Linked DNA regions of Arabidopsis thaliana. The protein of the gene in region 1 purifies or fractionates together with the protein of each later gene. This does not show direct contact. Each region holds a gene or a part of one and is shown on either strand. Other genes may lie near its edges.

What was found.
Region 2: the proteins of AT2G37020 (region 1) and AT2G03780 fractionate together in Arabidopsis thaliana (co-fractionation; one large-scale study listed by BioGRID). This does not show direct contact.

What each region holds. Positions count from the first base shown.
Region 1 is NC_003071.7:15,544,340-15,549,729, forward strand, and holds AT2G37020 (Translin family protein), read left to right. Parts: upstream 1-2,074; 5' UTR 2,075-2,171; coding exon 2,172-2,568; intron 2,569-2,802; coding exon 2,803-2,899; intron 2,900-2,975; coding exon 2,976-3,091; intron 3,092-3,796; coding exon 3,797-3,841; intron 3,842-3,976; coding exon 3,977-4,002; coding exon of another isoform or gene 4,003-4,050; exon of another isoform or gene 4,051-4,120; coding exon 4,121-4,256; intron 4,257-4,340; coding exon 4,341-4,453; 3' UTR 4,454-4,698; downstream 4,699-5,390. Other genes in the region: NAP12 (non-intrinsic ABC protein 12), read left to right, coding at 1-179, 265-729, 811-959, 1,062-1,351, 1,443-1,576, 1,664-1,820.
Region 2 is NC_003071.7:1,151,939-1,156,398, reverse strand, and holds AT2G03780 (Translin family protein), read left to right. Parts: upstream 1-2,076; 5' UTR 2,077-2,113; coding exon 2,114-2,198; intron 2,199-2,230; exon of another isoform or gene 2,231-2,287; coding exon 2,288-2,394; intron 2,395-2,617; coding exon 2,618-2,697; exon of another isoform or gene 2,698-2,797; coding exon of another isoform or gene 2,798-2,814; coding exon 2,815-2,956; intron 2,957-3,044; coding exon 3,045-3,194; intron 3,195-3,300; coding exon 3,301-3,502; intron 3,503-3,585; coding exon 3,586-3,683; 3' UTR 3,684-3,953; downstream 3,954-4,460.

The DNA.
Region 1 (5,390 bases):
TCTGGAGGACAAAGAAAACGTGTGAACGTTGGTGTTGAAATGGTCATGGAACCTTCTCTATTGATATTAGATGAACCCACTACAGGTTTAGATAGTGCATCTTCACAATTACTTCTTAGAGCACTTCGACGTGAAGCACTTGAAGGTGTTAACATTTGTATGGTCGTCCATCAACCCAGGTATGTTATCTCCTCCATGAATTATGTTACAATTTTATGTTAAGAAATACTTTTTGCTTAATAATTGGTTTTTTCCTCTTATTAGTTATACAATGTACAAAATGTTCGATGACATGATAATACTAGCAAAAGGTGGTCTTACCGTGTACCATGGATCAGTCAAAAAAATAGAAGAATATTTTGCTGATATCGGAATCACGGTTCCCGATCGTGTCAATCCTCCTGATCATTATATAGATATTCTTGAAGGCATTGTGAAACCAGATGGTGATATAACTATAGAACAACTTCCTGTGAGATGGATGCTGCACAATGGTTACCCTGTGCCTCACGATATGTTGAAATTTTGTGATGGACTTCCTTCCTCGTCAACTGGATCAGCTCAAGAGGATTCCACTCATAATTCTTTTAGTAATGATCTATGGCAAGATGTGAAAACTAATGTGGAGATTACAAAAGATCAGTTACAACACAATTACTCGAATTCTCATGACAATTCTAATCGAGTAACTCCTACCGTAGGTCGACAATATAGATATTTTGTTGGAAGGTATGATTTTTCTAGATTTGATAGATGGAATTTTGTGGTTAATTTCATATGTACATTAAAACTTTAGTCTATCTATTTCAGGGTTGGAAAACAACGGCTTAGAGAAGCAAGACTACAAGCGTTAGATTTCCTAATATTATTAGTTGCGGGAGCTTGTTTAGGAACTCTTGCGAAGGTGAACGACGAGACAATCGATACACTTGGCTACACATACACCATAATAGCTGTCTGTAAGTTTCTTACGTACACAAATATTAATTTACATTTACTAGTATTCGCGATTTTTGGAACGTTAACTAAGCTCTTTTCTGTATGTCTTTCTTTTTTTGTAGCTCTTTTGTGTAAGATCTCGGCATTGAGATCATTCTCTGTAGATAAATTACAATATTGGAGAGAAAGTGCCGCTGGAATTAGCAGTTTGGCACATTTTATGGCTAAAGACACAATGGACCATTTAAACACAATTATGAAACCTTTAGTGTACTTGTCCATGTTCTACTTCTTCAACAACCCGAGATCTAGTTTCGAAGACAACTACATTGTACTAGTATGCTTGGTCTACTGTGTAACAGGCATGGCTTACATTTTTGCCATATTGTACAGTCCTAGCGCCGCACAATTGGTTTGTCCTCACTTTCTCATAATTCATATATGAAGGAACCAAAATTTTCACTAACCATATGGTACCTGAATTTGCTGTTATGTTCTTGCAGTTGTCGGTGTTAGTCCCCGTTGTTATGACTCTTATCGCTAATCAAGATAAAGAAAGCATGGTCCTTAAGTATCTCGGAAGCTTTTGCTACCCCAAATGGACTCTCGAAGCCTTTGTCCTTTCCAATGCTCAAAGGTAGAAAGTTTGAAGATTTAATTCTTCTAACACATAATCAAATCTTAATTCAGAAAATTTGATTTTGGACTCTTTTTTTTGGGTTAGGTACTCTGGAGTGTGGGTGGTGACTAGATGCAGTTCATTGTCTCAAAACGGATATGATCTTAGTGATTGGATATTGTGTCTCATTGTTCTCGTTCTCATGGGACTAATATGCCGATTCATAGCTTATTTCTGCATGGTTACATTCCAGAAGAAATAATCTAATAATTACACATGATTAAAAAGCTTACATTTTGTAAAATTCTTCTATTTTTCATACGTTAAATATTAAATGAGTTATATAAGTAGTTTATAGAATTAGAGAAGAAGGGATTTTAGAATTCCAATTTTGTAATTTTTATTTGTAGATAATGGTGATTATTCATCATGCTTTTTCTTTCTTTATATGGTAACCGGTTTTGGTAAGATAGAGTCATACAGAGAATGATATACAAAGAAATCGGTTTATTTTCAGTTACGATTCTTTGGTTTATATGATCCGGTTTAATTGGTTACTAAGATGATGTCGGAAAGAGAATAGGGAAGCGGCGTAACTAAAAAACACGACACGATGATGAATTCGGCGTTTCGAAACGTTCACATCACTGCGTCTCGTTTGATAAACCCTAAGCCCTTTTCTTCTTCGATTCTCCATTTTCTTCCTCTCTGTTCCGGCGACGCTTCTCCTCGCCGTTCCAATCCTCTCCGGCATAGAAACTCGGTGTCTCCTTCATCTTCCTTTCCCTTCTGTTCGACTTCTTCCTTTTCTTCTTTCTACATTCCTATGGCGGGAGGAGATGGTCAGGTGTCTCATTCGCTTGAGAAGCAGTTCGAGAGTTTCCGTGTTCAATTGGAAGAATCTGCAGCTTTGAGAGAGCAGATTCGTGCTGTGGTTATGGAGATTGAGTCTGCTACTAGGCTTATTCAAGCTAATCTTCTTCTCGTTCATCAATCGCGTCCTATTCCTGGTAAATGATTAGTCTTTAGGTTAAAAATTGCATCTTTTAGCTAAATGTTTGAAATGGCTTGATGGGTTCAGAACTTGGTGATGAAGTTCTCTATGAAGGGAAGTAACTAAAAATGAAGAACTTGTTGAGAAAAGAATGAATATTGAATTACACATAGCCTTTGTTCTTTTAAGAAATTCATTGGAAGTGTTTGGTTGTTACTAATATAGATTGCTCGTTTTGTTGATGGATCAGAGGTTATCGAGAAAGCTAAGGAAAAAATCGTTGATTTGAAGCAGTATTATGGTCGGCTTGCTGAAATTCTTGAGGAGTGTCCTGGACAATACTATAGGTAAGTTTGAAAGCTATGTGTAGTTAGATTTTCTTTATTTGCAATGGTTTTTTGTTAAAAGGTTTTTGTAATGTAGGTACCATGGAGACTGGAGAAGTGAAACACAGGCAGTGGTCTCCCAGCTTGCTTTTATGCACTGGCTAGAAACTGGAACTCTTCTCGTGCATACCGAAGCTGAAGAAAAACTTGGGTGTATGTCTCTGGATCTCAATTTACTATTTTCCTTACTTCCAAATACTGAAATACATATCATGGCCTAGTGGTTGCACTATAAATAAAACCTTATTTTGTTTTGCTAGTTCTCTCACAAACTTTTGTATAGAAACTTCCTTCCCACAATAGGTAACAACTGAGCTGGCAGTAGGCAATCAATTTGAAATCCGTTCATGACTCCAACATACTATACGTGTTATCCTGTGACCCTCCTTTTGCCTGACCTGTCTCAGTTGGAAAAACTAAATGAACGAGTTTTCTACTTTTCTCAATAATCAGATTCAGTTTGCCACTAGTCTTCTTCTCTTATCAGTATGTTAATTAGTCTACCTTTTCTTGCTCGTTGTTATTGATTTTGTCCTTAGGCTTTGTTTCAGTCTGCATTTTATCCACTGTAGTGTCAACCATTTAGCTAAGATTTGATTTTTTCACCTCAATAGAGTTATTAGTTGCCGTTTCCCATGAACTCAGTTATTCTCCCTTAGGATGGATGGATGATAATTGGAAGGTTGGTTTTTCATTACGTTGGTGTAGAATAGATATTTGCCCAAGTGTCGTTTTGTTTCAAATCTGGGTTTTGTTATCTTGTCAAATCAATTGTCTTTGAGTAAAATAAACAGAACAAGGTGTTGGTCAATTCATCTGCCATTATGGCTCTTCTAATTCCACTTCATTGTACTTCAGTGAACAGTTTGGAGTTTGGATTGGAGACAGAAGATTATCTCACTGGTAAGTTTCTGAGAAAGAACCCATATTTGCTCTGGAAGGCCAATATCTATAGATCAAATATGCCTTACGAGCATTTTATGAATCGCAACATTGCTTTTATATTCTCTGATCTTCAGCTTTTTGAATACTTTGCAGGAATTTGTTTCATGTCAAACGATTTGGTAAGATCATTTTTATCCCTAAATCTTACTTTCCATCTTCCCCCTTAGCATCCTACTTGATAGCAACTTATGAAAAACCTTTGGATAAATGCAAATGGGTGATGCAATGTTTGAGCAGCCTAGGTACGTGGTTAATCGAGTGACAGCAGGAGACTATGACTGCCCAAGAAAGGTGATGAATTTCCTGACAGATCTTCATGCAGCCTTTCGCATGCTCAATCTCAGGAACGATTTCCTGCGCAAGAAATTCGACAGTAAGTCATACATATCTCTAACTGCTCTTCTTTCTCCATTTGCGATGGTTACATAAAAAAAAAATCGATTTTGACATGTGACAGGTATGAAGTACGACCTAAGAAGAGTGGAAGAAGTTTACTATGATGTCAAGATCCGAGGTTTGATTTCCGGCGGAGATCCTCCTGGCGTCCAAGCAGTCCAAGGCCAATCCTAAATGTCCTCGGCTCTTTTTAAGTTTTTATGTATAACTTTGTTTAGCTAGCATGAAAACGTCAAGGAGTGTTCTTCTCTAAACCAAAAACGGCAAGGAAAATAGAGAGACTGTAGTTTTTAGGTGTAGTTTGCAATTACTGAAAACGGCAAGTATTCCTTTTGTGGGCCTTGAAAGCCCACATTTTAGTCACAACTTTACTGTTATCCGAAGTCAGCAGCTTAATAGTATAACAGTAGATGTTCATGAACTCCACCTGTCCATCGTTGCGGACTTGAAACGCACGTTATATTTGACGGTGTCTTACGTCATTTTGGATTTCAAAACTAAATAAATCAGCTTTTGGAATCCGAAACAAAGACAAAAAAACAAAATCCAAGTCTAACAGTCGCCATTTCCCCTCCTGCGTCAGTGTTCTTCGTCTCCTCTCGTCGTCTCTCTTTGGTATCTTTTTTCTTAGCTTCGAGTACTATTCTTTTCGCTGACATTGTGTTAGATTCTCTCTTGAACTTGAACGATCTCTTTTCCAACACAAATGTAATGTATGATATCGTTCGATTTTTTCTCGGATTGTTAGTTTCTTCAAATTGCAGGTGTTTAGTTAAAGGAAGGGGATAAGCTAAGCAGCTGGATTTTCTTTTCTTTTCTTTTTTTTCTTCCCTGGAAAGTTATATTTTTATTATTATTTTCTAATGTAACAGCTGTGAGTCGTCTCTATGGCCCACATTATACGTATATTTCTTTTATGTTTTTTTTTTTTTTTCTATATTGCATTTGCATTTTGAATGTTGTGATAAACATTTAAAACATTGACGCTTCTGTAGCTGCTGAGAGTTTTGATTTTTCTTTATTTGTGTTTATCTATTCTGTCAATGAGACTGAGATCATCCGACAGAAATTTGTCTGGCTACTCTGTTTCTTTATACTGTAATTGCATAGA
Region 2 (4,460 bases), about 14 Mb from region 1:
AATTTGCTACAGAAAAAAAAAACCGTAACAAACAAAATTAAATCAAATTGAGTCTTGAATCGAGTTGATAAGTACAAATCAATTTTGTCGATTTTTGAGTCTTGATTCTGTGATAGGGGAATTTAAATGTTAAAAGGACTAATCAAAAACAAATAACAAAAATATCATTTCAAATAATTGGTTAGAGTAATTTAGCAATTTAAAAACTTTTGGAGTTTTTTTATCTATATTAAGAAAAAGAAAAGTATATATCACATAGAAAGTATATAATATAATATCACATGCATAACTAATGTCAAGTTTTTTTTTTCTGAAATTATGAGCCGAATATGTCTTCTTATAGTTTTTTTTTTATGCATAGTGATTTAGTTTAGAAATGAGGTATAGTAGATAAATAACTTTTTTTTTCTGTGCGCGAAACTTAGTAATTAAAATAACATCCGCTAAAAACTAGGATTGAACCAGCAGTAAATTGCGAGAGAGAAAAAAAATTCTATTTTAATTTGTTGATATTTAATTTTTAAGTTTTCTTAATTTATTACGCCAAAGAGTATATATTTTACAGTAAGTATATATAGAATAAGATTATGAGTTGGTCATCACAAATATTATTGTTTTGTTAGTTATATATAAAAAAACATTTGTAAAATAAATTAAAGTATAATATGTATGTTTTATGGATTACAAGTTTTGGGGATCACCTGTTATTTATTTTTTTAACAATACCATTGTCATTTATGAAAATCAAATTAAACCAACCCACCTATTGAATTTGTCTCGCATCATGCTAAGATATTTTGCATACTTTTGACTGACTAATCTTCAAAAATCCATCTAATGACAATGAATAATATAATCTGATTAATCCATATGATAACACTAAGTATTGTAAATTTGTTTAATTTTGTAACCTAGATACATATAAACAGTCATATATCATCAAAGTTATGATCCATAAATTATTGACAAAAAAAGTCATGATCCATAAATTGTTGAAAAACAATTCATAATCCAAATGATTATACTACTTTAAATGGAAGACATAATATAAAGTGTTTGTTGATTCATGCCCGTTTGAGAGTTACTACACTTGAAACTGAAACTTAGAGAAAACAAAAAAAACAAGAAAATTATCTGAATGACAGTCGAGGTTACACAATTCATCACTAAGAAAGAAAACATATATTTTTTCTCTAGAGAGTTACATTTTCTAAATCATTGTTTCACGGTGGTTTATGAAATATTTGGCAGCAAAGTCACACTGATGAGTAAATTTTGGCTCATGAAAATTTAATAAATTTTGGCTGGTAAACAAATAGATAATATGTTGTGTGAACAAAAACGTATAAGTTTGAGGAACAACCAAATATAGTTATATGTTTGCTTAATAGACTTAGCTTTCATTTTTTCTAAAATGATATCCATAAAATTATTATAAGACTCATAATTTATTATGTGACATTTTATAACATAAATTGTATGTAAACCTAAGATATATAAAATAATTTTAAAACTAATTTTCGATTATTCTTCGATTAACCGAGTAATCATTAGGACCCATCGGCTGTCTAATTAACGACTAACAATATTTTGAACATGGAACAAAACTAATCATCTATATAGGAATTACCATTTAAACGTAAAACCAACAATTACTAAATGCTCATTTATCATTATGAAATCAAATTAGTATTAAACTCAAATCCAATTAGTTCAAAATATTCTCTAACATCTACCATCATAGTTTACAAGAATGTTGGTCATCTCAAATTGATTTATGCACTTTATTGAACACTTTTTGTACATAAAATAAGCTAGGTTGTAGAACACATTCAAAATTAGGAAAAGAAAAAAACAATATACTGTAAATTAACCTTAATTAAAAATACCATTCAAAACCGTGGAGAAAAAATGAATCAATCAATCCTAATTACAAAAAACTGGTGCTGCCCAGGATCGAACTGGAGACCTTTTGCGTGTAAGGCAAACGTGATAACCACTACACCACAGCACCTGATGTCTCCTTATTCTCTCGTTTAATATTTAACTTTCAAACTAAAGCATCGCGAAATAAACCTTTGGGCTTCGAGTGAGCATCGGAGAAATCAGACAGATGTTGAGTTGTTCTTCATCGGCGTTCCAAAGAGTAGCCTTTATGCTTATGGCTCCCAAATTAAAACCTCAGAGACTCCATCAAAGTATGTATACACACTCACTTCTACATATATCTATTGCTTTGTGTGGTCTTTAGTGTTGATTAGTAACGATGGTTTTGGTGTTTGTGTAGTTGCAGAGAGTGGTGTTGAACATTTGGTTAAGAAAGCTAGGACGATGAGTACTGAATCCTCAATGAAAGATGCTTTCTCTACTTACGCTGATTATCTCAATAACTTCGTAAGTGTTTCCTCTGCTCCATTGTTTCTCCTGGGTTTATCTGTTTGTTTATAAAGATTGAACCTTTGCGTCATGGGATTGAGTCCTTTAAGTAAGGTTTATAGGTTTAGACAACTAAAGAAATGATCTTTCATGTTGCAACTTGGGTTTTGTAATAGATTCTATAGCGAATTGAGAATAAAGGAGGAGGCTTTATCTGGTTTCTATGATTGTTTCTTTGTAGAATGAGAAGCGAGAAAGAGTGGTGAAGGTAAGTCGTGATATCACAATGAACAGCAAAAAAGTTATCTTTCAGGTTCACAGGTAATTTCAACACCTCTGTTGTTTTTGTTTGTGTTCATCAAGATTTTGTGTGTTTTTGTTGTGTTCTTCATCAAGATACTGTTTGTTTGTTTTGTTTACTATGTTGTTATATGGCAGGCTCAGTAAAGACAACAAAGAGGAGGTATTGGAGAAAGCAGGGAAGGATTTAGAAGCAGTGAGGGATCAACATTTTGCCCGGCTAATGAAAGAGCTTCAAGGGACTGATTTTTGGAAGCTGAGACGTGCTTATTCCCCAGGGGTTTGTGAAACGGAAAATCATTCATCTTTTGGTACGATTTTGGTTAATGGTTTAACTGATATGTTTTGTGGTTTTGTGTAACTTACAGGTGCAGGAATATGTTGAAGCTGCAACGTTTTATAAGTTCTGTTTGTCTGGGACGCTATGTACTCTCGATGAGATTAACACAACGCTTGTACCACTTAGTGACCCTTCTTTAGAGCCGTTGCAGATCAATATCCTCGACTATATTCTTGGGGTATTTTTTAGACCATCTTTATTTATGGTTAATACTTACTGTCAAAGATGTTCTCTATTGTTTGGAGTTCTGAATTATGTTTGATTATTGTTTGTTACTTGCACAGCTTGCAGATTTGACGGGAGAGCTAATGCGGATGGCAATTGGTCGCATATCAGACGGTGAAATCGAATTCGCGCAGAGGATTTGTCAGTTTGTTCGACAGATTCATAGGGAACTAATGCTAGTTGTGCCAAAGATGGATGACAGTTATGACATGAAATCCAAGATGGAAGTGATGCTTCAAAGTGTGATCAAAATAGAGAACGGTATGCACAAATCTCATATCCGCACACTATTAGATACCAACCAATACGTTTTTGTAACTCTTTTTTGTTTGTTTGTTTATTAGCTTGCTTTAGCGTTCACGTGAGAGGATTAGAGTATATTCCACTGCTTGGAGATAATGCACCAACATCATACCTATTGGGAGCTGCTGATGTCGAATGATTAAAAGTGAGTGGTCTTTTCCGTCTCTCGGACACATTTTAAAGTTCTTGTTAAGGTTGGTGTGTTTGCGACAAGTAGGATCGTTTTAGTATGGACTTATCTTCAGAGAATTTTAGCCACTTCTTACTTCTGAGGAACTTTAAATCTGTATGCTGCAAGACTTTTAAGAAACAAATGGTTAGAACTAGATGTAAAACTTTTCTTTTGTTGAATGGAAGCTAATTTATAATAGAATCTAGCAATTACTTTATTATTCAAGTTAATAATTTTGGCCCTTCTTCACTTTTTCTAGATCTTTCGTAATCCAGAAAGTACATTTTTTGGTTCTTGCTGTTTGTTTGTGCTTAATGAGGAAACATATATAGATACTCTTATCTTTTATGCAGCTACATATAATGCATCTTATTATAGTTCGACATTTGGTACTTTTATATAGGATTTTGACATTTTTTATAAATTTATATCTATCATTCATAGATAGAGTTTTATTTTGAAATCATAAATCTTTCTTTTGTAAAGAAAGTGATAAAAATAGAGAAAAATCTCACATTTTAAGATGTTCATAATCTAGTTATATATAGAGTTATGTGCAAGCAATACCACAATAGTACAATCTGTGTGATATGATTATTGGGTTTTGATGTTTTTCCTTTTTATTTTTAAGATTTCATGGCTTATATAAAGGATTTTTATGCTAATGAAAACACAACTTCCAACAATTAGCCTCTAAGAGAGACTTGGGTTAAGAGGAAGCTTGCTTTAAATCTCTTTGTTCTT